4 linked regions of the Schizosaccharomyces pombe genome follow. Changing the gene in region 3 together with the main gene of any one other region gives a genetic interaction. Each region holds a gene or a part of one and is shown on either strand. Other genes may lie near its edges.

Region 1 (4,339 bases), 1.1 Mb from region 3:
ATTTAATTGGTTACCTTTTTCTATGATTAAAGCATGGAAAGTAAAATGTGCATGCGCAGTTTAATGGAAATGCTCTTCCCTCCATGTATTTGCTCCCTTTTCATTCCTCTCAAGCCTCCAAACAAATTTGTCCTGCGTTTCATCTTTAGACGTTATATTTCCAATATGTCTCGTTTCATTCTGTCCAATTACACTTTGCCAGGTTCAATCGTTAGTATGTATCCATGCATCTAGTGGTTTCTCCTGCGCTGTTTAGTTTTACTTCTTGTTTATACGATTTATTAATTTTGAATTTTTCCAAACGCTCTAGGTATAGACTTAAGCTGTAAATGATGCTCGCTTAGCGTTCAATATAGTGTGAAATACAAATATTCATATCACTTTCATCTTGTAAAATTTAATAAACACGTATGTCTGTTGAACAATAAGCACATTTACGTTCTTTTACCGTTTGCTCGTAAAATTAATTCACCTCTTTGATACTAAATACATCTAAGTAAGTGCAGTTTATATGTTCAGAGCAAACACGAACACTAAAAACTAAAGTCTAAAGAATATACACCTTTTTTAATACTTAAGTATAAAAAATATGTAAATAGAATATAGTATAAATGAGGATTAAAAAACTGGAAAACAAAGGATAAGAGTAAGTAAGAAAAAGGGAGATTAAAAGGCTTCAGTTTTATCAGGAATGAAAGAAAAATAGATTTAAACACTCAGAGCCTGCTTTTGTAAAAAGAACGGCGATAATTCCCTTGACAGTCAAAGAAAGCATTTAAAGTGATATTTACAATAAAGACACAGTAAAGGGAACAGAACTAAAAACGTTACTAAATTCACATTTAATGGCAAGCTCAATATGTCAGTGTTTTTTATATGCCCTGTAAATTGCCCATTGTTTGAGTATGTTTTGAACAAACGCCAAGATTCGAAAAAGAAGGAGGAAAATAAATATTTTCGGTTTATAAATTGAGGTAATTTGTTAATAACTGATATCAAGAAACACAGCAAAGTACAGATAAAGTCAAGGATAGCGTTTTTAAAGGTTTAATAATAAGAGACGAAAATTAATGAAAATCACGAAGATAATTTTGTTGCAAAGCTCGTTTTGCACTAATGCGATGGGCAGGGTCATAAACAAGCATAGCCTTGACAAAATGGTTAGTAATTAGTCTTAAATAGATGGTAATGCAAAATCTTACAGAGAGTAATTCAATAGCGTCCTCTTCACCATTGGGAACAACTTTATGCAAATCCATGCGTTTCCAACGAGGAAATGTGGATTTGTAATCTTGCAAAAGCGTGACTCCAGGCCATACTTCTTCGTTTGGGGTACCTAAAACTTGAAAAATTTTAAAAATTTCGTCGATCTCAGAGTCACCGGGAAATAATGGACTTCGTCGAATCATTTCAGCAAAAATACATCCAACGCTCCAAATATCAACCCCAGTGGAATAATGTCTTGATCCCAACAATACTTCAGGAGCACGATACCATAAAGTGACAATCTAAACGGTTAGCGACACAAATTAATGCTGAAAGACCGTCAGTCAATATTCCAAATTTTTTGGGAATAAAGTCATACAGCCAAGTAAGAAAAAAAATATACCTCATGCGTATAGTTCCGCAAAGGGACACCAAATGACCTCGCAAGTCCAAAATCTGCTAGCTTCAAATTGCCTTCTTTGTCTATCAACAAATTTTGTGGTTTTAAATCGCGATGAATGATTCTTCTAGAATGGCAAAAATTTACACCGTTCACTAGCTGGTAGGTAAACTTTTGAACAAGTCTCGGATCTAAACTAGTGGCCCCAGTTTCTGAAATTCGGTCCATGTATTTTTTCAAATCCATGTCTAAAAACTCAAAAACAAGATACAACTTTGATTCAGCATGTAAAATATCCAAAAGTCTTAAAAAAGGGTTAGAAACAAAGTTTTATCAATGTAAACATTTCCCATGCATCCGTCAAGTAAAAACTTACCGAACACAATTTGATCGATTATTCTCATCATTCACTTCTTTAAGAAGCGAAATTTCACGAATAGCTGTGCTAGGAACTCCCTCAGATTCATCTTCAAGGCGAATTTTTTTCATGGCCACAATACGCCCTGACAATTTATGTCTTGCTTTATAAACAACGCCATAGGTTCCTAGCATTAGTCAGTATACGTGACAGAAAAGAAATTGGATAAGTCATAGCTTCCTCAGTTACACCTACCTTCCCCAATTTTTTCGACTTTTTGATAATTCTCCATTGCAAACCACTAAAAGAAGCAACCTAGCGGTATGTTTTTTGGAAAATAATTTTTCTAATATCTGTTAATAGAGATGCGAGAATGATCTCAAAATACGTTTATACAAATTTGCTTATGTTGTGTTGTGCTGTGGGTAAGCTTGCTCAACTAGCGATAGACTAGTGGAAACGCAGAGGACTATTATCAAACCGAACTTAGGGCTAGCGCTTCATGTTTCTAACTTATGAATTATACTGTTATCAAAAATGAAATTAGAAAAGTAGGACATAACTCATTACTTGCAATTTATACTAGGTGATCAGATATGAAGAACTACATAATCAAAACATCATCTGAAGACATTGTATAACCGTGAATTAAAAAATTGTAAATGTGAATATCAGTCAAAAAAGTGCTATTATTAAATAAATAAATTTACGGTAGGTTGGATTATCCTGAGTTGTCTAATATTTATAGACTAACCCTTTAAGATAAATGTGAAATTGTAAAAACTGTCAAAGACTTCTCCACCTGCTCGCAAAGAAAACAAAACATTTTTTTTTATTTAAAAGAAAAATAAATAAATAAATATCACACTTATAAAAACAAGCAGAATCCGTGTGTATGTCAGAAGTTACAGAGTCATAAAAAAAATCCAGATAGATAAAAAGCATTGCGAAGGAGAAAAGGTAAAAAAAAGTTAATATAAATAATAACTATTACTAGGGAACAGCATTGAATAAGTCAATATTCATTTACGACGAAGACTTTCGAGTTAACCACACTAATGAACTATCCCCGTGTACACACAGGTGTAAAATGAATGATCTTATATTTCTGCAGTAAAATATGTATTAATCGTTCATCTAATGTAATTTTTCTTGCGAGAAACACTTGTCAATAATGCAGTTGAACTCAATAACATAATCGATGCATGAAATTCCCTTAAAAGAAATCATTGCCAAAGTCATTACCTCCATAATCATCAAAATTGTTGTAGTTATTATCATCTACATAAACAACTTCTTCAGGACGATCAAAAGCTTCGTCCATTTCATGCATAGCCAAACCACCGACAAGAAGTCCGCCCAAACCAGTCACCATGGGATTAGACAAGACTCCGCTACGACCTCTTCTTGCAGAAGTAGCAGGCTGGGCATATACGGGTTGTGCGTAGGCAGGCTGGGCTGGGTAATAATTTGGTTGATTGGGATAATAATATGGTTGTTGAGGATAACCGCCCTGAGGGGGATAAGGCTGTGGAGCGGCCCCGTATGCTCTGTTTTGGGAAGCTGCGGGAGCAGGAGCAGGAGCAGCAGAAGAAGCAGAAGCGGCAGGAGTGGCAGGAGCGGCTGAGTTGGAATAAGAAGGAGGCGGTCCACTTGGGGGAGCAGAGTGGTCCACCGAAGGAGGTGGTGGAATAGTTAAACCACGGACCGGACATTCCCATTGCGGCTTTGCTTTGGGATCACTTTCATTAACATAAAAGTAACACTTGTAGCGTTCATCCCACTGAGCGACCCAGCCATTAGGGAGACCTTCACGAGTTTGATAAGCCATAATGGAATTTAAGAAATATGTTGAGTATAAATTGAGAGAAAAGTTTGGAATGAAGGGAATATCTTAAAAAATAATTTTTTTGGTAAAAAAGACAGTTAACAAAAAATAAATGAATTCTAATACTTCTATCTGCTCTGTACGCAAGAAGTAATGGTAACAACAAATGGAAAGAGAAAGAATACTTCTAGATAGTTGGCCTTTTGCAAATGAAAAAGCAATTGATCAAATAAATGAAATTCCGCGTATGATGGTGAGATAATTATAGTGGTTAAGATCGATAAGAAGGTTGGAGAAGTTTGATGCTAGCAGCAGTCATGGAGCTATTCGTGGTGAAAGGTGCCACTAGTATGCTTAATTTCTTAAACTAATATTCAGCTATACAGTGATTCTTATAGGCAGTTTTTTTTTAAATTTGTTATCTATTACATTACATTATAACGAAACTACTTGAGCAATGTAAGTAATCAATATTCATATAGCGATACTTAGCTGTTTCTACAAATCTACAGATATTATACAGGTAATTGAAAGTCTCAAAGAAGTG
Region 2 (8,499 bases), 2.3 Mb from region 3:
GATGAATTGGTTTTATCTATACCACTTCGAACAGTACTCTAGGTTTTTGGACAAAGTTCATGTCCTTAAGGGAGAAACTATTCGCGTTGAAGAGGATCGGAAAGGACTCTTCAACCTTTCCAAAGGAGCACAACAATCTTACGGGAATCAAATGCTCTCAGTAAACTTGCGCCCTCAGGATTTTGATATGAACTCTGTGTTGACAGCATCTACAATGCATCATATTGAATCTTCCCCACAATATATTGAACGTGTTTATTGCTCATGGGAATTAGTCTTGACGGAACACGTCTCTTCTGAATATGCTTTTTTGCTGGAGTACTTTAACCTCTCTAAAGATCAGCAGGCTACCGTTTTTGCCGCTATCTTTGAAAAAACTTTACATTTTTCACGCAAATACATTACAGGATTGATATCAAGCAGTATCGATTGCATAGGTATTTTGAAGTCCATTCGTTTTACTCAAAAATTAGCTTTACAGGCGCAAACTAATATAGTGCCTGTTATTGAGCCACACTATAACTCCATGATTCTTTTTCTGTGGCCTCGCTTTCAAGCTGTCATGGACATGCACTGTGAGTCACTCCGTAAAACTAACTTATCTGTGAAGCCAGAAGAAATCACTTCGCGACCTCATCCACTTTCGCAGCGAGTAGCTGAACTACTTTATAGCCTTTCGATGCTAAGTGTTAATGTCGTAGAAGCCGAGCCTGTTGCACGAAGTGCTTCAAGACTAGCTCAGGATTATGTGAGCATGTTACAAAACCTGTGTAAAACAGTTAATGACAAAAGGAGACAAAGTAGGTTTTTGTCCAATAATTATACCCTCATTTCGACTGTTCTTAGCGGCGTATCGGGAAATTTAGCTATAGAGCAAAAAACATATTTCGAAAAGCTTAATGAAAATTTAACTAATTTCCAATAGCCAAGATTATTAACATATAATAAATTACGTTTTATTCATTTGGTAGGATTCTATATTAAGAAAAAAATTAAAGTAGTTAATTATTTCAGGACACTTTAGTGGTAAACCACAAAAAGCAATATTATGCTTGATGTTCTTTAACAACACGTAAGAATCCAGCAACTCGACCCATATCTACTTCTCCCTGTTGACCGTCACTTTCCACGGCTTGTAACAAACTTTCCAATAATGAATCCACTCGAGATTCATCGACACCGGTGCATAGGGAAACAACCCGACGGCACTTTGATTTTATGTTGGAATTTCGTTGCCAAAGTTTGTTCGCTAATTCGTTTAATCTGGCTTCATTTCTCTCATAAGCAGCAACTTGAAACTTCAATTCAGCAATAGATAAATTTTTGTTGTTGTTTTCATTGACAGTAAAAGGAGCGTCAGCATCCAATGATAATGAATCGTGTATTCCATTGGGATCAAAAGATTCATAAAGATTACTTAATTCACTTTTCTGTTCTTCGATCGAAGTCATAAGATTTTTACAACGTTGCCTTAATTCAAGAAACAAAGTTCTTTGCGTCTCGGACACGTGTAGTTGTTCACGAAGATCGGACAGCTTTTTTGTAGATTCACGCAATTGGGTGTAGGCTGAGTCAATCATAGACTGTTTTGCAGCCATTTCATCCTGAAAATCTTTATCCAGAGAAGATATTACATCGGTCACAGAGGCGATAATGTCTCTACTCTTTTGACGAGGAGGGACAGCAGTCTTTTCTTTGCTGGACAGATTTTCACTCATAAGGGAAACTTTTGTTTGTTTTGAGTCTTCGGGTTGTTTTAATGCGTTTTCAACAAAAATTCCAAAATTTGCTACGCTTAACCCTGCACGATTAGGAATATAAGCGGAAGCTCCGGCTTGCATTAAAACTTCAACAATGTTCTTATTTCCAATTCTTGCTGCGATATTTAAAGCTGTATCCCCATTTTTATCTTGATGATTTAAATAGTTTATGAAGTCTTTCAGCATATATCCGTTGTTACCACTTGCATGTTTCTTTGCCCAATTTAATAAGGTTTCTAAGTAATATCTCGATGCTGAACCTCGGCCTTTTATACCTGCAGTAAGACAAATGTGATGAACGACGGTCCGTCCAGCTCGATCTGTACAGGGAAGAGATGCGTAAAGCAAGTCTAGTAAATCACCAAAAGAGTTCTGATTGAGATGATTGGTTACCAAAACCGATCTCATTAATGCCGTTTCTCCTGTGAGGTTGCCACGTAAAGGATTAGCTCCTTTATGTATTAAGGCTTGTAACAAAGGCATTTTGGCAACGGCTGCTGCCCAGTGCAGAGCGGCGTGTCCAAGTTCGTCAATGGGGACATCCAAATCTAATGAGTCCGACAGCTTTGCTTCTAAGGCGCTGGAATCAGCAAAGTTTACATCTAAAAAGATAGAGGTCAAAATGTCTTTTGATGTATGATAATCCTGCATAATATTCTGATCAAGTGGAGGAAGACTAGAAACCAAGGATACAAAAGAAAGTGAATGGTTCAACCTTGGCGTATCTGGAAACAATGAAGAGGCCTCATTATCATTTAACTGTGAGGAGGGATGTAAGTCTTCATCACTGACATCAATTCTATGCCGTTTTAAACGCTGTTCAAGGATAGGTGGAGAGGTGGAGAGGTAATTGTTAGAGCGTTTAACATTTTGGCTATCAATTTGAGTTAAAGGTAGTAAGAAAGAGGAAGAAGGTGAAGGTGAACTCTGCATATTGTTTATAGTGTGCACCCCATTCTTTGAAGACTTGCTAGGGTTTGAAAAATTATGATTCCTCAAAGGGGATCGCGTATTAAAAGAAGAAGTATTTAAATTTTTGGAGATTGAAGAACTTTCGATTTGTTGCTGCTTTGAAAATTTGGGGAATAAATCAAGATTAAAAGAAATTAATGGTTGTAAAATTTCATAAACCCCATATCGCTTTGCTATAGAAATTGCTCGATCATATGGAACCCATACTCCATCTATTTGAGGGTGTTTGGAGTCAACATTCTCATAGTCCCCACTCTCGATAATATCATCCAATTCTTTGGCGTTTTCAGATGACGAAGTACCAGCAAGTCGAAGTATTTGAGAGATATTAAAGTAAGAATCTGGACATCTTCGAAGAGCAACATTATCCCCACAGCTAAGCTCCATATATTTCATGCCTGAACATTCGACAGCATACAATTCTACGGGTCGGCCATCACGTAAAACTTGGGAGTTAATAAAAATCCTTGAACTAGAGTCTTTTAAAGTAGATGAATCGTTTAGTTTGTTTATATTTCTGTTTGAAAGGGGTTGTGATGGCTCATCCTCTGGGCGTTTTTGGTATGAAAAAGAATCGTTCCCCAGCTCAAACTGGCGAATAAAATTGGCTGAAGCCATTATAGTATATTAAAATAAAAAATGCCGAAAAAATATCGAATTTTTTATAAAGGGCAGCACGTTTTTCTCGAAAATAAGGGTGCTGAACTGACCATGAAAGAAGACTCGAGCTCCTCACCACTTGGTTTGTTTAAGAGATTGTGAATTCCTTTCTTTTTCAAATAAATAGAAGTAATTTTTTCGGATTTCGTGTTATACACAAATTCGCTCTGGGAAGGTTCACGCAGCTGTATACATTTGGTACGGCGTTAGACCGTATTCGAAGTAACGATATATGAGGCTTCCTAAGGAAAACAAAGGACTACTTCAATGTTCGTTTCTTCTGGGGGTTTTATTTAAAGGCTACTTAGAAATGGAATTCTTTCTCATTTCAAATACCCTGTTGAAAAATTTCCAACTTTGCTATACTCAACGACTTTACTGTTTCGGGATATGCAAAAGAGACGGATTTTTCAGTCAATTCTAATTTTCCCTAAATAAAAGTTTTGATGTTGAGTATGAAAAAATTATATTTTTTTATTGGTATTTCTAATACAAAGTAGCTTCCAACTTCCATCTTTTTCAAATAGGTAAATAGATAGACATATTAATGACGTCATATATAGAACGCGACGCGTCGAAATAAATTAAATTTAAGGATAACGTGTTCCTTAAAAGAAATGTAAATAAGCACCAACCAGCATGGAACTAAACTGTCAAGGAAACAGGTTCACTGTGGTGCAGCTTACTTAACAGAACGTTTTCCACTTAAAAACACTGCATTCTTTCGGAAACCTTCATGATCAATACGCCCTGCACGAGAGAAGGGAAACAAAATTGCAATCACTTTGGCAGTGATGAGTCCTGTCGATACTGGGCCAAATTTGTTACTATCACTGTAAACTAGTTAATATCTCTATAGAAGAAAACGAAAAAGTAAAAAAACAATTGTTGGAAACCTACATAGAATGAAATTGTTCATCGCCTTCGACCCACACATGTCCCTCGGGAACGGGTACTAATGACAACTTTTTAGGAGGTCTCGTTTTCATGATATCGTATTCTACTCCTAGAACTCTTTTTACCAATAGTTCCTCTGGGTTTTCTGGAGAGCTTGTTGCTTATTAGTAACGATAAAAAGGGAAACTCAGTACCGAAAGACCCTGCAACGATCCAAGAACTTACCGTAGTATAACTACATCTCCTCTTTTGTAATCCTTATTCCATTTCCAAAGTAGTACCCTATCTCTCTGCAGCATGTTTGTCTCAGGGTTAAAGGCTGGTTTCATAGATCTACCTTCAATTGTACCGACGCTGACTACATGTTGTTCAACGAACATTAATACGGGTACCCATAGGGTAATTCCGACTAAATTTTTAAAAAATACTGATTTAAAAGATTGATTTCGAACGAAAGGGTTTGCCATTTTTTGAGGACAACTGCTAAACTCTCTCCTCTAAGAAGTTTATGATTAACCGTCTGTATGTACCTTAACAAGCATGGGAGTTTCCGTAATTAATAATTAAACCAGGAAAACGTATTAATGAATTTTATCTGATAAGTGTCAGGCTTCTATTCCTGATCGTTTTTGTTTCAATACGGTGTGTTGCAGTAGGTAATTCAAAACCACATTAAGCTTAGCTTCCTTCTAATATTATTATAGCGAAAACTATTATTTACTTAAATTAACAACCATGGTAATAGATACAAAAAAACAAATAAATATTCTGTAAAGAAAAATGTTTTATTTTAAGAATTTATTTCCATTTCGTAAACGTTGTCCAACCAAGCTTTTAGCTACATTTGTTATTGTTAGTAATTTTGCAAACAAACAGGCTATATAGTGTGGAAAAGTAGTCTAATTTACTAAGCACCCACTATGGCTTTTTGAGCAAATACTTACCTCCCCATAAGAAACTGAAACACAATCAAGTTCATCTCGGGAAATTAATGCGATGGCTTGATTTATACCGGCATCAAGCTAATGAATTAATAAATGCAATAATGAGAAAAATGTAAAAAACTTACCTTTCCCAGGCGATTCAGCACTTGATATAAATCTATCACAGGACACTCATCTTCATCTATCTGATGGAAAAGATAATCTCGTAATAAGTAGATTAATGAAATTTCTTTTTCTCGTGCGATAGGATATTCACGAGAAGCTCTATTATTATCAATAATAAACATAATCTTGCACAAAATATTAAAAAATCGACCGTGTTGGAAAGCGTCCGAAATTTTTCTCTCCATTTTTTCGCATTCCACGTATGGTGAACTCATTATAGGGAAAAAACTTTCTATGTGATTTTGCAAAAACAACTCCAAGTTTTTATCCTCAGGAACTTCCGATACAAAGTATAAAACCGCTTTATAAAATTCCCTCGAATATGTACTATAAATTGCTCGTGCGGCTGAAGACATGTCCATATCAGTTCTTCCAGTAGCTAAATTCGCAATCACAACTCCAAGATCTACAAAATCCTGCTTCTTTCGTTCCTCTAATGGAGGCTTGTTTGACACTACCAATTCATAGTCAGCGCAACCACTAATACGAATCCTTTACACGTTAGTATAAGTCATTAATGAATTAAAGAAATGTATTCCATCAAAACATAAAAAATGTTCAAAAAAAAATACCTTTCAGTTTGATCCACAAGGATTCTCGACGGAGTAAGCTTGTTGCAAGCAAACCCGGATTTATGTAGATATGACAAAGCGATAGTAAGCTGGAAAAAATAATTCCATAACTCTCGTTCTGGAATTTTTCTATTTTCCTCCAACTTGACAGAATTTTTAGAATTGTTTAGGTAGAGCTCACCAAGGGTTGTAGTACACGGATAAAAATCATAAATTAATAGTAACGCTTGATTAATTAGTAAGGTTTAGTAAAATAAACTTACAAGAATCATGAAATGTATCAGTATGAAAAGCAGAATGGAATGGTACGATATTTGGATGAAAAACATTTTTAAGCTTGTCGACAGTCGACGTATCAATATTAATTGAACAGTCTTTTAAATATATTAGCAATTGCAATTTATGAATCTGAAGGTTACCTTGGAGTCGTTTCAAAACGTAAGCATTCCCATCGATGGAAGAAGTGCATTTGTACGTCCAAGAAGAGAATCCAATTTGCTCTTTATACCGATAAAGCTTTGTATTCAGTGGCGCCAAAGAAGTATATGAAGATATAATAGACGGAAGCGCTAAAATATTAGTATAAAGGAAGCTAGACACAAATTAAGTACCTGAAATTGTCTGACGGGATGCCTCGCTCTTTCTCTCGATTCTTTCTCTAGTCGTATCATCAATAAATAGACCGTTTACAGTTCTTTCATAAGGAAGTAAAGTTGGCATGGGAGAAGGTTGCGGATTATATAAATTGTACAATGTCTGTTGTTGTCAACAACAATAATAAGGCTTTAGACTTACGGGTTTAAACTGGTTTTGACGAGTATAATAAACCCCAGAGTCATCATGAAAAGGCTCATTGACCAACATAGATGCATTATTGTAAGGATTAATAGCCTAAAATTACAGTAAAATTAGTAAGAAAAATATAAGCTGTTAGCCAGACATACATGACTACCTGGTGAAAGCGCAACAGGGGTACGCTCTCTAGATAGAAAAAGAGATTTTTCTTGTGATTTAGGAACAAATACTGCAGCGCCAGCAGCCTTTACTGGTAAAGCGCGAACAGGTTGAAAAGAGGCCGACGCAGCATTCAGTTTTTTCTTACTAGCGAGGTTAATTATACGTACAAAGCCTTAAAAAAAATCATACACTGAGTATTGCTCCAAATTCTCTGAAGAAGGGATGAAAGGCTACAAACAATCGTAAGCAAGAAGCTTCTCTGAAGTTAAGAGAATACGCCTATACTTACACCATCATGTCGAAAAGCACATCCATTTTCTGAATGCTTACAGGATCCATAAAGTAAGATATTTCTACATAATGTTCGTTTAGCTTTGGAATGGTCTATTAAAAATGGTGGTCAGTCAAGTTTTGCTTTGAATTTCCATTTACCTTTCAAATCAGTCACTGACGGAGACCTGGAACTCTCCCTAGAACGGGAAGTTGGCTTTGGGCTTGCAGGAGAATTCTTCCTCACACTCATCCTGTCAATTTCCAGGCAATCCCAAGCTAACAGTCTGAGATTATAGCAATTTAGTTACAGGTCGTGGAATCAGTAAGTCCCGGACAATACTAATAATGCAGCACAACGAAGTTTACTGTAATACTTTGCAACGCTACATTTTGTTTATATAACAATTTCATAGTAGTAATATTTAAGCATTTGAGAAGACAGTAATTCTAATTTATTTTTTATCTGTTCTTTACATGTAACGGGCAGTAACTATTTCGAAAACTTTAACAATAGCAAGTGTTATGTAGCAGTTGAACATGTCTTCGTAATGCTGCTATCTTTCTGCGATCACTGTAATTTAATTGCAAATCATAAAACCAAAGTAACTGAATTTTTTTTATCTTAACTTCTTCCTTAGTGCCAACTTTTGCGAATTGTTTCAAATGCAAAGCTATGTTTTTCAAGCAATTCGGCCTCCCATATATAGCCATTGCAAGTAAGAAAACTTAGTTCGCAGTTATAAATTCCCTATAGAAACTAACAGCTTGCCAAATTCACACTCCCCTGTTTTGCTATAAAATGCAATAAAAAATTACTGAAAGGGGTGGGACTCGAACCCACGAGCTTTCGCACTAGTGCCTTAAACTAGCTCCATAACCACTCGGACACCCTTCCTTTTTTGATCTGTCAGACAAAAAAGTATATATTATTTATTTAATTAATTAAAGAAATTTTAGGAATTCAGAAAAATATTTAAATTGCTAAAAAGAATAATAACAGACTGTCAATTATAAAAGCATATTTATTACCCTATTCTCTTTACATTGTCCTCTAAAACAGAGTAAGGAATGAAAAGTCTAATTGAGTTAAAATAGCTCAAAATGAAAAGAGAACGGTGAATTTTGTATTGAATAAGCTTTTAATTTTTTGAGAATGGTTACCCATGTTTTAATACATTCTTGAAAACTTAAAGACAAGTGTATGATATTTGGCATTTATCTCTGTCTGATTGGAAAAATTATTTTTAAAAGCTATGGCAAGTATGTGAACAAAAAATGGAGAAAATGCGTGAATATTGT
Region 3 (8,670 bases):
TGAAATGCTCATTGAATGTACTGGGAGCTTTGACTAATATATTGCTTTTCACCTAGGCGAATGTTCATATCCTACGTTCAGAACCCTTTATGAATTTAACAAATTTTTTTTGAGGTATAAAACTGAGATTTCGAAAATTCAAAGAAGAACCTCTTCATTAATTCAGTATGAAGAGCACTCAAGTGTAGGTTTGTTTGGGGTTATCCATTCATTGATTGCATTTCTAATTAGCATATATTACTACAGGCTATTTTCATATATTATGAAACCCCACAAATGTTTGACTTGGCTACCAAGGCACTGCAAACACTTTACAACTCCCATACTCGTGAAGGCGAGACAAAGGCAGCTTCCAAATGGTACAGAAATCCCCGAAAAGATTTTCCAAGTCAAGAAGCTGCTTTAGTAAGAAAGAAGAAACGCGATGCTTTGATTTTAAAAAAATATTTACTCAATGTGGATCCTTCTTTGTCATTTCGTGCAGAGGTAATATTTACATATTGAGCTCATTTATAATAACTTGACGATTATTAGGGTTTATTCACATTACCTTCAGATGATTTGGACGTTTACGAATTTTTCGGTGGAGAAAATCTTACTTTATTCAATCAAGTCCGTGTGGATTGCCAATGTTATATCCACTATCTGCCCAAGTTAGCTGTATGTATTTTAAGTAATTTCTTTTTACAGGATGCTTACATTTCATTCTTTCAGGCCTTTTATGTTCGATGCGACAGTGTAAAAAACTTAAAGGTTGCTTTGAAGCGAGTCAAACACATTTTTTACGAGCAGGTCTCTTTAATTAGATTAGAAAGGACTCAGCCAATACTGCATCTAATGAATTTTGACGACTACTCAACCTCTTATGAACTGTTTTATGATCGAAACTTCCCATTAGCGAAGAAATACAAGCCAAATTCTATTTATCTGCATCGCCTACCCGAATCGATACCGACTCCTGTCGATAGTGTTAAAATTAACTTGTATGTGTTTTTTTTTAAAAAGGCTGGTATATTTATTGACATAACTATAGGATTCGTGAAAGGAGTTTCAATCTTTTAAAAAATTTCGTTTCAGCATCTTTATTTAATGTTTTTTTATTCTCAGGTACAGTTTTTATGCGAGTTAAAGTTGGTATACCTCTATTTGAACGACTCAAAGTTGGTACTAATAAGGTGAAAAATAACTCCGTGAACATTGCACAAAGTTTTTTGGAGCCCCAAACACGGTCAACGTTTTTGAGGTATTTATTCTCTGACGAAGTTTCCGTAAAAGTTTGCCATGTTTTAAAAGAGCTCCGTAGTCCCACAGGCGAAAAACTCTTTGAGTCTTTTTCAGATGATCCTATCACAGCCGTACATTTTGAAGTGATGAATTGCAAAGGTGTTCAAGATACATTGACTGCAATATGGAATACTAATTCAGGCAAACCTAGCGGGTGGTATCTTGAAAGTACTATGTACAAAGCCTTGGACGTTACCTATTACAACTTGAAGTACGTGTTTTTACTCATTTCTTTTCTAACACTCTTGCAGTACGCTTTCATGGAACCTTTACATTGAGTATGGACATCCAACCCAAAACTCAACTTTTTACAAAGAGTTCATATCAAATATTTCTATGTCGTAAGGCTGACTATTAAAAGAAAATTATAAGCTGACCATAAAGTGATGATGGAAGAATCTATTTTATGAATACCAGAGACATAAAAGTTCGGAGTCTAGTTGTCAAATTGAAGGTAAATGAAGTTCATTTAGGCATTACTGTTGGTTTTTACAATTTTTGAGTAAGTAGTTAACTAATTTTAGCATAAATATTGGCATTTATCTTCCGGTTTTCATTTGCATATAACTCGGTTTGAAGCACACGATATGGGCAAAGTTAAAGATATAGATACAGACTTCGAACCTGGTCTCCAATGTTACCAAGTTGGTTCTGACACTTCGGTTCTTCGTTATGGACTCTCGTTTTGGGATCCAAAATGGGATTATCTATTAGCTGATAATCAACATAAACAGCAATGGCAAGCTCCATCTTATAAACCACTGATATCGGAATTTTTCCCTATGGGCATTGAACATTTTATCGAAACGGCACAATCCATTGTTATGGCTGTAAATCGATCTACTATTGATTAATAAAAAAAGGATCACGATATTATTTTTAAAGAAACACATTTAATGTTTTGGTTTAAGTTGTCTATCGAGAGTTAGATGTTATTTGTTTTCATTTTTATTATGAGCAATATACGTTCTGCAAGCTATGAACATAATAAAGTAGTATTCACCTCAAGGAACTATCATTATCATTATTATTATTAATATTACTCCGACTCATGGTGTAGGATATGGGATTCCCAATCGGCAAGTAGCTCAACATCCAGAAAATATAGTACTATTTTGTTATCGTAAGGTCCTAATTGTAAAAAAGAAATAATAGCACAATACTCGTAGTTGTTTAAAGCAGCATCATTAGCAGAAACACAATTGTTATAACGTTACTAGCCACATAGATCAAAACACATATGCGACAGATAATCAAATCTAAGACTTAAAGGTGGGATAATTTAAAGGCATCCATAATTACACTTCTCCAAATGATTTTGGTTTCATAATGACACCAGCATGTACTATGCATCTGGCAATCTTCAAGTACCCGAGCATATAATAATAGAACAAAACAAAAACAAAAGCATTAGGAATTATCGGCGACTCGTTTACAGGACATTACGGTTGCTATTAGTGATAAACTAATACACATATAAAGAGCGCTTGAACAAGTTGGAATATTCACAATTGAAAGAGGTTGAGATAGTGATATGCACAATACACTAAATTACCATTCTTCATCTTTCATGTCATGTTGTATACGTTTTTGCTTGTGAAAAGTATAATCTTCATCAGCGTCATCGCCAAGAGGGATAGAATTCTTCTTGATCCAGTCACGAACAAAAAGACTAGCTTTCATAAACTTTTTGGAGGCATACTTCTTGAAAAAAGCTTCATGTTGAACAGGCTTTTGTAAATAATTAATCATCTTCTTAACAACGGAAATTAATTGGTACTCCTCATAACCTGAGTAATGCACAAGATTACGATTCCACGGTCCACGTCCAAGCATTTCCCTGGCAAGGTACATAGCGGCAGCACACTGTTGGGAAGGGGGATAAGGTAAAAGTTTATGATCTAAAAGACCAATTTCAACAAGATACTTTGCAACAGTTCTTGTTTGAATATCGTAAAAGTCGGCTTTTGAGATACGACGTAGGAAATTCATAGGATTCGGGTAAGCAAGATTAAACTCTAGGACACGCAAAATGTAGCGCTCGGCTTGAAGAATTTCCTCTTCATCATACCCACCATCCGCCATATATACAAAGTTTTGGACTGAAGGGCACATCACCTCCTCATACTTGCTAGCGATGAACAAGGCAGCAATGCCAACCAATTGTAGTTTGTTAAGAGAGCATACCCGCAATGATAAAAATCTATCAATAATATTTACGGCCAAAAACAATGTTTCAGGAAGCAGTCGGAAACGAGAATGCACTTCAATTAACCAATCGGTAAGTATTCCACGCATCTTCCATGCAAGCTCTTTTTGACGATCCATATAAGTAGGAGAGGGCATAGTTTCAATTTCCAACTCATTCAAATATTCAAAAATATCAACGACATATTCAGAAACCATAAGAGGGTCAGCCCAATCTTCTGCATCCAAGTCATCCCAATCTTGAGATTCGGGACTCTCAACACTATCACGGTGAAGTTTGGGAATATCTTTCGAAACAACGCGTTCATCAACATCTTTCTTTAATTTTTTTGGAATAGTTGCTTGATCCTTATGGAAAGCATCAACCCCATGGGTTGAAACAGAGTGTGATTTCGTTGACAAGTGTTGAGGTAACGAGGGGACTGATGAATTAAAAACAGAAGGTTGGCGACGCTTCTTGGAAGCGGGTTCATCATCTGTTGCAGGGATTATAGACTTTTCCTCGAGAGCACGACGGGTACTGACAGAAGCAGTAGTGTGTCTGACATTTGTGTTTTTACTAGCTAATGGAACACCTTCTTTGTTGTGAAAATTGGAAACATCATCCAACGCATGACGCTTCTTAGGAACGTTGGTGGAAGACACAGTGGCTTTCTTGCCATTTACTAAAGAATTTTCTGAAGAGTGCAAAGAGCTTTTTGCACGGGCAATATGGTTTGAAGGATGATTTTCGTCATTGTTGCCCAAGGTATTTGCCAATAGGTGCTGGCGAGTTAAACGACGGGTAGTCATGAGGAAAAGAAGAAACGAATTCTGTCGGGGATTGAAAGAGAGGAAGGGAAATTAAAATATTAATTGGTTCAGGTAACAGAAATGATAAAAAAGAGGTTTTGAACGAACAACCTTTTTAAAGTGTCTAAAAACGTGAAGGGGTAGTACGGGACGGAGAAGATAAAATAGAATGAGTTATACTTGAAAGTTTATACAAAAATTTTAAGGATAAAATCCAAGCAAAAATGTATGTTTCTCGTACGTATAAAGGAGAAAATAATAGCCTTTGACCGAATCTAGAATTTGGCAAGAGCTTTTGAGACTTCTTTTTTTCAATAAAGTAAGGGGATTGCGATGAAGTCCAACAATGGATATAGGAAACGTAGAACACGAAACTGAACTTTGAAATGAAGCTATATGTAGAATCGATGTACGATTTTCCTATATTAACACCAGAACAAGAAAAGAAGGGTAAATGTTGACTTTAAATGACGTTAGTAAATCTAATGAAAAAACAAAATGGCACAATAAAGGATTATCCTATGAAAAAAAGAAACTTTGATAGGAAAATAAAATGGGTAGTTATTTAAATTTAAACCCCCATGTTTTACAGCACCCACCCCTTAATCCCTTCATAAATTTTAAAAAAATAAAAAAATAAAAAGAAATGAAGTTAGACTTAAAGAGGATTTCATGTTTTCGCTGAACTAGGTGAAGTCGAGGAAAAAGGGTGACTATTGATTGGGAAGAAATTTTCACATCTTCAGAAGGTCGTATTGTATGAAAATGTTCTTACACAACCAAAACTGTATTCCCAGCCTTTAACATTACTTACAATCTGATTAAGCTCTTGTTACAAGCAAGAAGACAAGACGAAAGAACAAGCTTTGCTTAACCGACCAGGTTCCGCTTCTTTTCTCGCCTCTAGCTCTAGACAGTGACTAATAGGGGAAAAGTCCTGTTCTTGCTTATATTTCTATGAGCAGGAATGTCGTTTAAGGGTAAAAACTCGTCAAGATGCTGGTTAAGGACAGCTCGTGGTAGTGGAGTCGACTGAAAGGAGTATCGTAGAGGGCGTAAACACTATGGGGTTGTCGGGGTAACGCAACGTTGGCAAGCTGGGAAACAAATACAAACATCAAATAATATGGTAATTTTCAATGTAAACAATAATATAAATATTAAACAAAAACAAACACGAGTTTCGTAAAAATAAGAAAACGGAGATATGGAACCACAATTTAATGTATATGAGCTACCTCACTATTGTAAAAAAGAGGTAATAATGTTATTGTCTATGAAATTATGCTGGGCACATTATATAAAGTAAAGAACGTATATAATCGAAACATGATTGCTTGGGAAATGCAATTAAAAATTAGTTCTTCAAGTTTTCTTTAATAATTACAATATTTAGTGGGTAGCTTACTCGTAAGCAGAATCTGAGCAGGGTAAACAACAAAGTCATCAAAAAAGGGGAGTTAATAATTAAAAAAATTATATGGAACGATTTAATAATGTAAAATAGAAGTCAAATTTTTGAATTTGAGATATGGTCCGTCTTTATTTACATCAGTCAAATGCTTCAAAGAAAAGTGAGAATGCCAGTACACCCACTTTAGTACTATATTATGGAATTTCAAAGGACCCAAATTCATCATATTGAATCATAGGGAAGGAGCAAACGCGCTTGTAATAAAAGAATCTAAATCAGCCTTTGTAAATTTGATATACTACGTAATGAGTAAGCAAAATGAAAAACGATAACAACTTAAATGTATATACACATCGATAAACTAGCAAATGAATATCGACAAATCCTCAATACACATACCTTGTCTTTATTTTTTGTAAAATCACTGTTGATGTATCTAAACAGAGGTTAGCTATAGTGGAACTAACAGTTTTTAATTGATCTTCATACTTATCATAGAACCTTTGATATAAAGGTAGTACAGTTTTCTTAACTTCTTGCAATAGAAAAGTGGCAACACCAGTTTCAAACCTAACAGATTCACGATGCACTTGAACAACAGATGTAACTTGTTCGTTGAAGTTTCGGAATTTTTCCTTTGTAATCTCTCGTTCTTTAGCAGACATAGTGGATTTGTTTTGAGATTTTGTATAGGTAGAATCGAGCATATTTTGAGAACACTGTCGCCAAACTTCCATATACATGGTTGAGTACTTTTGTGATCGATCTCCTAGCTTTTCTAAATCAACGTCTTGTAAAAATGATGCAATTTTTGACTCAAGACATTTTGCTTCAAAATAGACGCTGATGTTTAAAAGCATTACGCCCATTTTCCATCCAATCGTATCCACTGCCTGGGCAGCTGTTTGAACAGAAGTTAGGTAGGAATCCATACAATCCATAACATAGTTCCTCGTAATGTCTTGAACTGAGCGCGCAGGACTGAGATCAGCATTAATTTCGTGTCTCCAGCCCCAATTACCAATACTTTCAAGCAAATAAGAGGCATTTTCATGCTCAGCAAGTTCATTCAAGAAACTCATAATACCATGAGTCATTTCACTGACTCTATCAGTTGTGAGAGGGACTGTTTTGTTGTTATGGCAAGTGCCATTATACAGCCTCGATATAGAAGAAATCAATATCTTTTCCATTTCACGACCAACACCATTCACAAAACCAAGGAAAGAAGCATCTTCAAAAGGCATAAGATTATTCATGTTTTGGCGTGTAACAACGATACAATCAATTAAAGACAACAAAACAAAATTTTCTGCAGCACCTCTTTTTTCATAAACTCCCTCAAGCTGTCTGGTGGCATTGGTGACAGTGTTTATGGCAGGCTTAACGATTTTGGGATAAAGTGCCTTAGCAGTAACTTGATCAAACAAGAGTAGCAATTCCGAGGCAACGGCTGGTAATAGTCTAGATAAAGCAACTAAATTGATCGAAACATCTTCTTTTCCAGTCACGAAGTTAACTGATCCCTCGTTGAGCTTAATTTCATCTGTCCTCATAGAGACGGCATGAAGTAACTTGACAACACATTCGCCCTTTATCTTGATGTATATATTAGAGATATCTGAAGAGCAAGAAACTGGGAACAGAACATCAGCATCGAATTGCTGAATTAAACCTATAAATTGCTGAAGAGATTCATTGGGAAAACTCCACGGGATGGATAAATCCAAAAGTGTAGATGCTTTGTTAAGGGAGGATGCAGCATAAGTTTCAAGTATATTATAACACAATGCACCTAAAATCTGGCATCCTTCTGATAGCATCATCTCAACTTTTTGCTGCGATTTTGAGGCAAATTGAAGTGGACTTCCTTCTAAACTCGTATAATCTTCCGCTAAAGATTTTAGAATGTCCATGACAGATTTTAAATTTTGAGATACTGATTTATTTAAATTTTGGCATTCTTGCAACCCCTTTTGCAGCACAGGAAGGTGTGAATGGATAACTTGAAGGCTCTCCATTTCCTTTAACGTGTCGTAGATGTCTTAAACAAATTAGTAATTAACAAATAAAATTACAACAATACATACTGCTAGAAACGCGATTGTAGTTCGTCACATCATCTCTTAAGATTCCAGCAGACGCCTCGAGGCCGCTCAATCGTTTGTCCATGGACAATAGGATGTTAGAGGCATCAGATACATTCTTTGCGACCGAATTGAGATTCTTTTGAAACGTTTCAAACCCAGCTGTAACGATTTAATTAGTGATCGAGCTTTAACTTTTGAATTTATAAACATGGTAAATACCTTTATTATCATCAAAAATACCACCACTCCTATACCAGTTAGCTCAATTTTTTAATTCTTTAAGTTTAATGTAAGATACATTTTGCATATAATTTTTACGAAGGATGCGATTTATGAAAATCGTATATTATGTGTGGTGAAATGCATGTGCAGTTGTAAGGTGTACAATCCGAAAGAATGTTAGGGTCAACCAGATATTTTTCTGACTCATGTAATGAACGTTTTTGAAAACTACATATGTTTGAATGGAAAATTGATCATATTTTTTAAAAAAGGTTCAGTGTAATTATTGGTTTCCTTTTCTTACACATCGTAGTGGGCTATTAGCGATGTGAAACAAGCAATACGAGAATAGATTTGCATGTATAAATAAAAAATATTGAATTTGATTTAGAAAAATTATCATAATTTTTTGTTTCAGTTCAACTTCTCATTAAATAGCTGAACAGCTACAATATGATGGCCAACATAAGAGGGGATATTAAAAGAGAGTATTAAACGTAACAACAGCTCAAAAAGAAATAAATTCGTCTGTGTCTAACTTAGATCAGTAATTGCGCACAGCGCATTGGAAAAGAGAGACCTCGAAAATTAAACGGTAATAGAAATAAAGCAGACGGTAGTGTGAAAGCTGAATTAAAGTTAAATTTTCAAGTTTTTAAT
Region 4 (9,659 bases), on a different chromosome or scaffold from region 3:
ATATAATTATTTGTTCTTCCCTCTCTGTCCTCTTTAGATAAGTAAAATAACTACTACTAGATAATTTTTTTAATACATTGTATCGACTAACGCTCCTCCTACAAAAAAGTTCAATCAAGCTAAATTAAAAATTAAAGATAACAAAGATATTATATTTTTAAAGCCATTAAAAAATGTTAGCCACTAATATTAGCAGCGGTTTATGATTTTGTGTCATGTATATTTTAATCCAAAAAAGACTATTCAAAACCAAAGTACACCTGAAATATTAATTAACGTGAGCTAATCATTTAAAAAGTAAAGTAGATCGTTTATCGTTCCTTAAGAAAAAAAAAGTAAGGGACAGTGGGTAAGTATATCTACCAATGTGATGAAATGAGATATAGAACGTCCTTGTTAATATTCAGTACAATTTAATTTTCCGAATAAACTGATTTGTATTTCGTCGGCATTATACCAGCAGCTCGAGCCCTTCGGATAGCCCTAGAAAGAAGTCGTTGATTTTTTGCTGTTAGGCCAGTATCACCTCTGGGTTTAATACGACCAAGTTCAGTAACGAATCTTGACAATATTACGGGGTTTTTCCAATAATTCATAGGGTTTTCGTTCACCGTCTTAAAGCAATCTTCTCTTACTGGTTCATAGAATTTGGCTTGATTTTTCGCCTTTACCGTTTCAAACAGTAAATCATTGGGAGAGTAAATATCACCTTCTTCTACGGAGGCTGATAAATATGATGGAATATTTGAGCGAACTCTTCTCTGAAATCCTACATTTGAAGATGCTTCAGAATTTCTCTCATTAAATTTTCGATTGTCCGAAAACCCTCTTCGCGTAGAGTTATTAGATTGTATGAGATTGCATAAAATAAATCCTCTGTTTGGAGCTGGAGAAAATATTCGTCTCCCAAGCATTTTTCTCCCGTGCTGTTGTCAAAGTAATATTTCAATGTTTGAAGGTGTTTAGTGAAATAATGAGACACTCGTTAAATAGTTTATAGCTTATGCTTGTGTCTGATAAATGAAAACGTGATGATACCTGAATTTTCTAACTTTTCTGTTTCAAAATAAATGTTTATTTAGATATGAAGTGTTAAACGGGTCATTAAAATCCTATACTAATTTGAAGGCATCACAAACTTGAGCATATACACAGCTTTCACAAGCATAAAAAAAAAGGGAAATTAAAAATTACAGAAGTGGAACTAAGCATAACGTTAACATTATTACTAATTATTATATGATATGATAATAATAAAAAATCTAACGGGTTATTAAACTTCGTTAGTAAATCGTGGCATTTTCCATAAACATAACCAATTATTTGCCATTCAGCAAGATCGTAAACTATGTACAAGAATAATAGGCAGTGTCATCGATCGATCTAAATTATTATGAAAACAGAAGTCAAAAAAAAGTGGATAAACAGTCGGGATTCGAACTTTATGCTAGCAAAGATGAGTAAATGCAACATATCAAGTCGATAACAAACGAGTGACATAAGAAATTAGACAATAAAATAGATGAAAAATAGGAATAATAACTCCTCTGAAGCCGAGTCTACATGTTAGAGAAAGGATTTGCGATATAAAAAACAATCGTTCACTAACATTTTTTCAGTAGACAAAGCACGTACAGTATGTGCGGCGTCAAGGCTTTAAATTAAGGAAACATTCTAGTTCCCCATATCAAGAACTGAATGGCATGTTTCCATAGCCATCATCATATTGCCTCAGATATAATTAACCGGATATTTGACTGAAGAAAACCAAATAGATAATCCGGTGAAAAGGCAAAAAATTAAATAGAAAAACTATCATCTAATAATTTTTTAAAATTTTTTAAAATTTAAGGGTTCGGTTAAAACGGACACGTATCCTTAAATAAAAAAAAAGCATTTAATGAACCAAAATTAATTATAAGCACCAATCACTAAACTTTTCGTTTAAAAATAATTAAAGTGTTTGCTTTTATGAAGCTAAACAGATTTTGGAAGCCATTCCCTTATTTCGCAATTTCGCAGTAATAAACATTGAGAACAAGAGTCTCTAAAAGGTTTAAACATTCACCTGCCAATCTTCCATCATTTGATCACCCTGGGGGTTAGAAGAAGATCCATGAATACCTTCATAAATTATGGCTCCGGCTTTTCTACGCATTTCAACCCAGCAAACCTCATCAGTTGCCAAAATTTGATCTATGGTAGGTCGGTTCCTAGGCTCTGGAGATAGCATCCACTCTACAACGCGATCAAGTCCCCCTTGGCCTATTATACTATTAGCCGGTGTTTCACGAGAAGAAGAAGTAAGAGATGAACCGTTGTCTGTTGAAGAAAGTCGAGGAGCATCTGATAAGTCACCGGAACGTAATTTCTGCCAAGACTGACCGTTATCAGGAAGAACAATGTTAGCAGCAGCTTCGAAGACTGTGATACCCAAACTGAAAATATCAGCAGGTTTATCATACAAATGGTTAGCAAGAACCTCAGGCGCAATGTATTCACAATCACCTTCTCTTTCCATGCCTCTCGGAACAGGCCAAACACTGGCCATTCCAAAATCACCAATCTTCAAGGTACCCTCGAATGTTATCATAACATTAGCAGGCTTTAAATCCAAATGAACATAATTTTTATGATGAATAAACTGTAGCCCAAGAGCTACTTCTACTAATATTTTCCATACCCTAAATTCATCGAGCCTTGAAAGTTGTCCTTGCTCTTCAAGAAAACGATCCAAACTACCATTTTCACACAATTCGACTTGCATATAAAGAAACCCCCCATGTTCCCATGAGTCCATAAGCTCTACAATGTGATCATGGCCTTTAAGGGCTCGTTGAATAGAGACTTCCTGAAGTAGTCGATTACGTTCTTTTGGTCCACTAAACTTTACCTTGAGCTTTTTCACTGCATACTTTAAAGTTTTTTCCACAGGGTCTTCAACTTGAAAAACCTCACTAAACTCTCCACTTCCTAGTAAAGTAACATTTCTAAACCGTGTAAGCAAATGTGAAGTAGATGATGATACTTTGGACGAGGTGAGAGCAGAAGGAAAGGATAATGTAAAGCTTGAAGAAGAGGGTTGAGATACATCAGCTTCTTCCTCCATGGCAAATGACATTTGATTATTATTTCTCGATTTGATAGGCGAAGGTTGCCGACCGTCCATGTGAATGGAAACAGTATTTTCAAACGCAAATGGGTTACGAGTAGGCGTAGCGGGACACCTCTGATTAGATAGAAATGGTAATCCATAGTTGTGAGAAGTTTTTACAGCAGAAGGAGGAGGATCGAACCTCAAAAAGTCCATGGAACTTTTCTCCAACTGAATAGTAGGAATGGAATTGTGATTTGTAGGAGTGTTTTCCCGTTGAATAAAATAAGAGTCGGTTTGTGTATTGGAAGGAGTCGAGGGTGATGGAGGCGAATCTGTGGAGGAAGAATGTGGACGAACAAAGGTAGAGGGTTTTGAAGGAGTACTAGGAGGGAGAGGTGTAAAGTTAATATTCTTTCGCGGACGATGTTGCTTGGATAAAAGACCTGTACTCATAAAAACTTGGGAAGGAGGTTTGATTTGTTGAAAGGGAGTAGTTAACAACTCAGATGAGGGTGGGTTAGGTAGAGTAGCATTGGGGAAAAGGGAGAATGAATTAGAAGAGGAGTTAACCATACTGTTATCAGAAAAGAGGGAAGATTCATTTTGTTGGGTTTGAGGATGTGAGCGATTAGAAGGGATGAAACTTTTCATCATAAATGATGCATCCTTAGAGCTATTTCGTGAATGGTTGTTAGATACGGCAGACTTAGTTTGGCTGGAGGCAAACCCAAGCTTGCGTGCAGTAAGTGGACGAGCGGTAGGAGAAAACAAAGAGGATTGAGCGGAGTTAGAAGGGAAATGATTAGAGGTAGTGTGTCGAGAGGATGGTATGGACGAAAAAAGGGTAGAAGGATTAGCATTATTTGAATTAGGAGGAGCGGGTGTGGAAGTCGATAAAAAATTAGGCGATGAAGTTGCAAAAGGAGAGAAGGAGCCCGATGCAAATGGAGAGATGTGGGAATTTGAGATACGAAAAGAATCAAAATTGTTTTTCTTTCGCAGCTTCTGAGCAGGAGTAGAAGGAGGTATGTGTTGAGAGCTTTGAAGGAAGGGAGATGGAGAGTGGGAAGGAGGGGACATTGCACCGTTTGACATGGAGGAAGAAAAGAAACTTCGTTTTACACCAGTAGATGCATTTTTATGAATGGGAAACGCACGAACGTCTGAGGGTGAAGGGGCAGTATGGTGGATGGGATTAGCCACCTGGGCAACAGGAGAAAGAGATGGAGAATCACCTAACCGAGAGGAAGAGCGTGATACCAGATTGGGTCTATCAAAAAGGGAAGGCCGCCGAGGTACAGGTTGTGCCTGTATCTGGGGTTGTGAATGTGTAAAAGAAGGAGGAGAAAGAGGGTGAAGAGGGGCGGCATGAGAGAAGGAAGGGGAGGAAGTGGTCTGTTTGCGAGGACCGAATAAGCTAGTGAAAGAGGTATTTGGCTTTTGCGAAGAGGTAGATGAAGTAGAATTGTTAGCATCATACAGGCTCGATGGAGTTGGAGGAGCGAGCAAAGTAGCACGATTTAGATTCATGGAGCGTTGGGACCGCCGTAAGCCATAAGATCTATGACTGCTGGTATTAGAAGAAGAGCTCATGTTTTCTGTATGGAAAATGTGGCAATTTAACAAAAAAATAGATATGAAATTTTTGATTTAATTAAATTGAATTGGAATGCAAACGGAACAGATGTACGAACGAACAATCGATAAACGAGGGAAGTGCGAAGCAACTAGGATTTCGTAGGTAAAGCGTAATGCACAGTTGTAAATGGAATAAAGAAAAGGGAGAAAACAAAATGAAAAAGAAAATTCCAACCGATATTCTGAAGGCCTACCACCTCAACAAAAGAGAAGAAATTGAGCCAATGCTCGTAATATTGTCAAAACGAAGGAGAAACGTCAAAAAAAGAGAAATGTTTAATAAATTAAAAATAAATAAGAAGAAAACAAAGGCAAGAGAGCAAAAAAGCTCTCGTTTGCTTCAACGAATTATGTCTATTAATAAGTAAAGTGGTATGTTGAGGTTACGACGAAGATATTGCACCCACCTACTTTTACTAGTACAAAGGGGGGGTTCAAAGCCGCTATAGCCTTAAAGTGTCCAATCCGGTATTAGGGTATGCGTTCCACTCCAGTATTCCTTTAAAGCTGAGTGAGTGAAATTAAGCGATAGCTTATTGTGGAGCACTGAGCCGAGACGTTCCCTAGAAGAAGCCAAAAACAACGAAAAAAGGTTAGCAAACACGGAAGGAAAACAAAGAAACGGAACCACAAAATTTTCAGCAAATTGAACGTCTAAAGCCTATAAAGAAAGAAGCAGATAAGGACGCTTAACAGCTGATTAAAAGGGAGGGGAAACTATTTTTCATAAATAAGGAGAGAATGCGAAAATCACGTCGGAAGGCCGGGTTGAAGGAGGAAGTATTATACCGAAACTGGGCAAAAAATCGTAATTCGTTGGTTAGTGATATTGCTTTCTCCTAGCTAAATATGTATAGTACAGCGTAGTGTAGTGTAGTGTAAGGTAGTTTTGGGATCAGAGCAGCGAGAAGTAGTGAGAGTTGGTGGTGAAAAAAATGTAAACAGAAACAGGAAACGAGTGGATGAGCCGAAACTACGAGTTTTTGAAGGAGATGGTTTTAATGAATGTCCCTTTTTCTTCTTCGCTGCTACAAAAGAAAAAAAAATGGGGAAAAGACAAGAAATATGAATAAGAATGGAAGTAGCTTACTTTTCCGATGGAAGGGAAATGTACCAAAGTAATGACGAAAAGGTCACACACTGGAGACTAACTAGAAGCGGTAAGTGCACGTTAGTATGTCGATCTGTCCATATATATAAAGTAAATAATCAAAGGAAAGATGTAAAATTGGAAATAAATGAGAAAGAAAAGATATGGAAATACGATCCCTAAAATAACATGCAAAAAACAGAAACGGTTCAGATGAATTCAGGCACTTGGCATGGTGAGTGGTGGAAAGAAAGACAGTGTGATGTTGATGAATGAAGGAATAACCAGTAAACAAATGAGAGATCCCGTTAGCGACGGAGACAAAAAAGCGGAAGGAAAACGAAGAGATGAAAAGAGGTGGTGTGAATGGTTTAGCCTGGATTTTGATTTAAAGGAGATGGTAAAAAAAAAAAAATTGTGGAATTAATGTTATTGTTGTTTTAGTAAAAGTAGTGGTGGGTCAATAGAAATAAAATTGGTTTCACTTTGCAAAATGACAATACAATAAAAGTCGTTTAAAAAAAAAAAAAAAAAAAAAAGGGAGAAAAATCACCTTTTAGTCTTTACATGATTCTTCTATTATCTATCGATTCGAACATTTAAGGGTTGCATGGGATAAAGCAGTGCTAGTGTTAAAAGGTAAATAGAAAAAGAGAAGAGAGAAAAGGAATGCAAAAAATTAACAGGGAAGGAAAAAAAGTGCCTCTAAGCATTCAAAAGAGAAGCTAAAATTAAAATAATAAACATGAAATGACTTAAAGAATGATAATTAAAGTTGTTTTATATATCAACGAATATTCTTTTTTCTTGAACATTAGGAAATTGTGTTAGGATTCAGATATCGAAAGGTATGGAAAAAAAAAGGGGGAGACGATAGGAGCAGAAGAAAGTGAAAGGGGGGCAAAGAAGTAAAAAGACAAGAATTAAAAATATTCGGATTTGCAAAAAAAGGAAAAGTCAAGTGTTCTTTTTTTAGAATCCAAACCATCCAAAGTGGAACATTTTAAGAAAGTACAGTGAGAATAATGGTAAATCAGATAGGCGAAGTATCATAGAATTTGTTAGTTACAATGAATGAAACAATCAATAGATAGAGGGAATGATTAATCATCTCAATCTTCTCTCGACATAGAATAAAATAGGTTTATTAAATATATTAAACCGAATTTAAATAGTTGCTCAAAAACTCATTTATCTGGCAAAATTTACGAAAACATTGTCAAATTGCAAGAGAAGCACTAGACTATAGCATAGCTGTTTGAAATTAAAAAAAAAAAATAAAAAAATAAAAAAATAAATAAATAAAACTTAAAAAAAGAAGAAGAAGAAAAGAACCGAAGGAGAAAAATATTTAAAATAAATTAAAAATATACACACATTTTTTTTTTTTTTTTTAGAGCCTACTTACTAATCTCTTTACACACACAAATAACACAGATTCATTTAGTGCTAGACGAACGAATCGAATGCAAGTTAATTCCTTGTTTGTCACATAAGGAGCTCTAAATTTATTCACTATTCATCACTAAATGATATACTATTAAATACATAGATGAAATTCATCAAAGTTATAAGGCAAAAGAATTTCCAGAAAATGTAGTCTGAATTAAGCATAACTTTCTTGAAGAACTACATAGGTTTCATTCATCATAATATCAATACACCACCTTTTTACTATTACCACTACATGTTTATAGATAATCTGCACTACCAATAATTTTCATAAACAAATACTTTTTTTTGTGTACTGTTTGCCTTTAAATTTGATGGCTGTTTCAGATTTTTTTTTCTTTTGTGCTTTCATTCAACTGTTCTGTATTTGTAATGTAAAAACTAATAACTTGGCCAACAAACAACGACTGCTTGTTCTTGTCACGTTTGGAATTCCTTGGACAGATTCATGATTTCAGTTTCATCCATTTTTCAGTTAAGGAAAAAGGTGGGAATTTACCTGTACTGGAAAATTAATCCACTCATTCATTGATACCATTCCACAATTATTTAACTTAACATAGGGTTTGTGTGGTATTACGAAGCGATTATTTGAAAGCTGGCGGATATATGACAAGGCGCAAAGTCCTAGTGCAAATTTGAAAGTAAGACAATAATCGTACGCTGACTAAGGTTGTTATTACTTAAGCAAGCTTACATAAGCACGATACACTACCGTTTATATTTATTGTAACAAGGTTATAATTGTATTATTGCTAAAATCGTTAATCACCCATAATGAGCCAAAAACTGGTTCTTGTCACCGGGATTACAGGATTTATTGGAGCTCATGTTGCTAAACAACTGCTACAAGCTGGATATCATGTGCGCGGTACGGTGAGAAGCATGGAAAAAGCGAATGAACTTGTTCGATTGAATCCTGATTTTAAGGATGAAGTGGAATTTGTAATTGTCAAGGAATTGTCGATCCTAATGCATTCGAAGATGCCATAAAAAATGTGGATTACGTTTGTCATGTAGCGTCTCCATTGTTTGTTGATAATATTACTGACAACAAAACACAACTCTTGGATCCAGCAGTTAAAGGCACACTAAGTGTCTTAGAGGCAGCTCATGGTGAGAAAAGTGTGAAGCGCATTGTGATTACTTCCTCTTTTGCCGCCATTATTAATCTCGAAATCGACGTTAATAGCGGTAAAGTGTATACGGAGAAGGATTGGAATCCCATCACGTATGAGCAGGGAATAAGTACGAAAGACGGAACCTTTGCGTATTGTGCGTCAAAGACTTGTGCCGAAAGGGCCGCTAGAGATTATGTAGCGCAAAAGCGCTCTTCGTTTGATATTTGCACAGTCAATCCTCCTTATGTGTTTGGACCGCCAATTCAACCTATGAAGAACATGGACTCACTAAACACATCGAATTTGGTGATATGGAGCTTGATCAATGGTTCCAAAGCCAATCCTTCTTCACCTTATTATTATTACGTGGATGTTCGCGATTTAGCAGCGGCTCATGTATTAGCGCTAGAAAACAAAAAATTATCGAACGGTCGAATGATTGCATGCAAGGGATTATTCACTTCAGAGGAAATTTGCAGCACACTTCGTAATCACTTTCCTGACAAGCAACAAGTTATTTCCAAGCCTGAAAAAGCGTCTATCAATCCTGGATTCATGGTATTGGATGGTTCTTACTCAAGGTCGATTGGATTGAAGTATCGCTCCGATGAGGAATGCTTTGTTGACACTGCTAAAAAGTTGTGGGAACGTGCTGAGGAGTTTCAAAAAAGTTAGAAAAAAAAATAAGAAAATGATTTCATGTGGCTCAGAGAGTCAATTGCTGAGGGTCGTCGAATTGGTAAACGTGATTATTACGAGGTATGAGTTAAACACAAATGTCAATAGAAAAATGAACGAGTAGAAGTTGGTTGGAAGAGAATTTAAATAAAAAAAAAAAAAAAAAAAAATTGGATGAGAAGAAATTTTAGTTACTAGCACATACACATGAATTCAAAATACGAGAAAGACACTAAATGGAATAAACGCTGGCGAGTTTATAGAATGTATCAAAATGTTTAGTAGCACACTATTTAGCGCAACAACAAAAAGATCGACACTTTTGTAATTGTGAAATACTGCAATGTGTCGCTGCATCGCTATGCCCGCATTCACGCTAGACGAGATAGTGGAAGTGGAAAATAGCGTTCACGAGCGAAGTGTATGCTACGAGGTGAATGGGTGTTTTTTTATTCCAAATTACGCTAGTTATCGCATTTTGTTTAATAAAATATTAATAAAATACAAAGCAGTGCGAAATGACACGTTAAAATGCTTAAGTGGATGAAAAAAGAATTTAATTTGCCTTAAGTATTTACATATT

What was found.
Region 1: of cdc13 (region 3) and cdc2, extra expression of one rescues a mutant of the other (dosage rescue), as found in Schizosaccharomyces pombe (9 studies listed by BioGRID, with this or other methods).
Region 2: of cdc13 (region 3) and cdc10, changing one suppresses a phenotype caused by changing the other (phenotypic suppression), as found in Schizosaccharomyces pombe (3 studies listed by BioGRID).
Region 4: of cdc13 (region 3) and wee1, extra expression of one is lethal in a mutant of the other (dosage lethality), as found in Schizosaccharomyces pombe (one study listed by BioGRID).

What each region holds. Positions count from the first base shown.
Region 1 is NC_003423.3:1,498,257-1,502,595, reverse strand, and holds cdc2 (cyclin-dependent protein kinase Cdk1/Cdc2), read right to left. Parts: upstream 2,389-4,339; 5' UTR 2,353-2,388; exon of another isoform or gene 2,311-2,352; 5' UTR 2,257-2,310; coding exon 2,220-2,256; exon of another isoform or gene 2,152-2,219; coding exon 1,983-2,151; exon of another isoform or gene 1,911-1,982; coding exon 1,610-1,910; intron 1,509-1,609; coding exon 1,203-1,508; intron 1,149-1,202; coding exon 1,068-1,148; 3' UTR 501-1,067; downstream 1-500. Other genes in the region: protein wwm1, read right to left, coding at 3,181-3,795.
Region 2 is NC_003423.3:2,760,241-2,768,739, forward strand, and holds cdc10 (DNA-binding transcription factor, MBF transcription factor complex subunit Cdc10), read right to left. Parts: upstream 3,561-8,499; 5' UTR 3,351-3,560; coding exon 1,047-3,350; 3' UTR 926-1,046; downstream 1-925. Other genes in the region: GARP complex subunit Vps52, read left to right, coding at 1-925; mmp2 (endopeptidase catalytic subunit), read right to left, coding at 4,075-4,225, 4,293-4,442, 4,515-4,756; PAN complex subunit Ppk26, read right to left, coding at 5,080-5,127, 5,234-5,311, 5,359-5,890, 5,971-6,196, 6,234-6,344, 6,390-6,539, 6,582-6,726, 6,766-6,861 and 4 more. UniProt on the Schizosaccharomyces pombe protein: Major component of the cell cycle transcription factor complex MBF (MCB binding factor, also known as DSC1), that controls G1-S phase specific gene expression. Involved in the control of rRNA production, via interaction with pol5.
Region 3 is NC_003423.3:416,737-425,406, reverse strand, and holds cdc13 (G2/M B-type cyclin Cdc13), read right to left. Parts: upstream 5,297-8,670; 5' UTR 5,099-5,296; exon of another isoform or gene 4,972-5,098; intron 4,746-4,971; 5' UTR 4,285-4,745; coding exon 2,836-4,284; 3' UTR 2,139-2,835; downstream 1-2,138. Other genes in the region: protein dsh1, read left to right, coding at 57-184, 247-486, 535-660, 715-983, 1,034-1,495, 1,536-1,625, 1,669-1,738, 1,809-2,138; exocyst complex subunit Exo70, read right to left, coding at 5,931-5,996, 6,098-6,134, 6,188-7,742, 7,789-7,947, 8,008-8,036, 8,087-8,088.
Region 4 is NC_003421.2:717,265-726,923, reverse strand, and holds wee1 (protein kinase Wee1), read right to left. Parts: upstream 5,121-9,659; 5' UTR 4,691-5,120; coding exon 2,057-4,690; 3' UTR 1,089-2,056; downstream 1-1,088. Other genes in the region: rsm18 (mitochondrial 37S ribosomal protein bS18m), read right to left, coding at 414-914. UniProt on the Schizosaccharomyces pombe protein: Protein kinase that acts both on serines and on tyrosines. It acts as a dosage-dependent negative regulator of entry into mitosis (G2 to M transition). Phosphorylates and inhibits cdc2.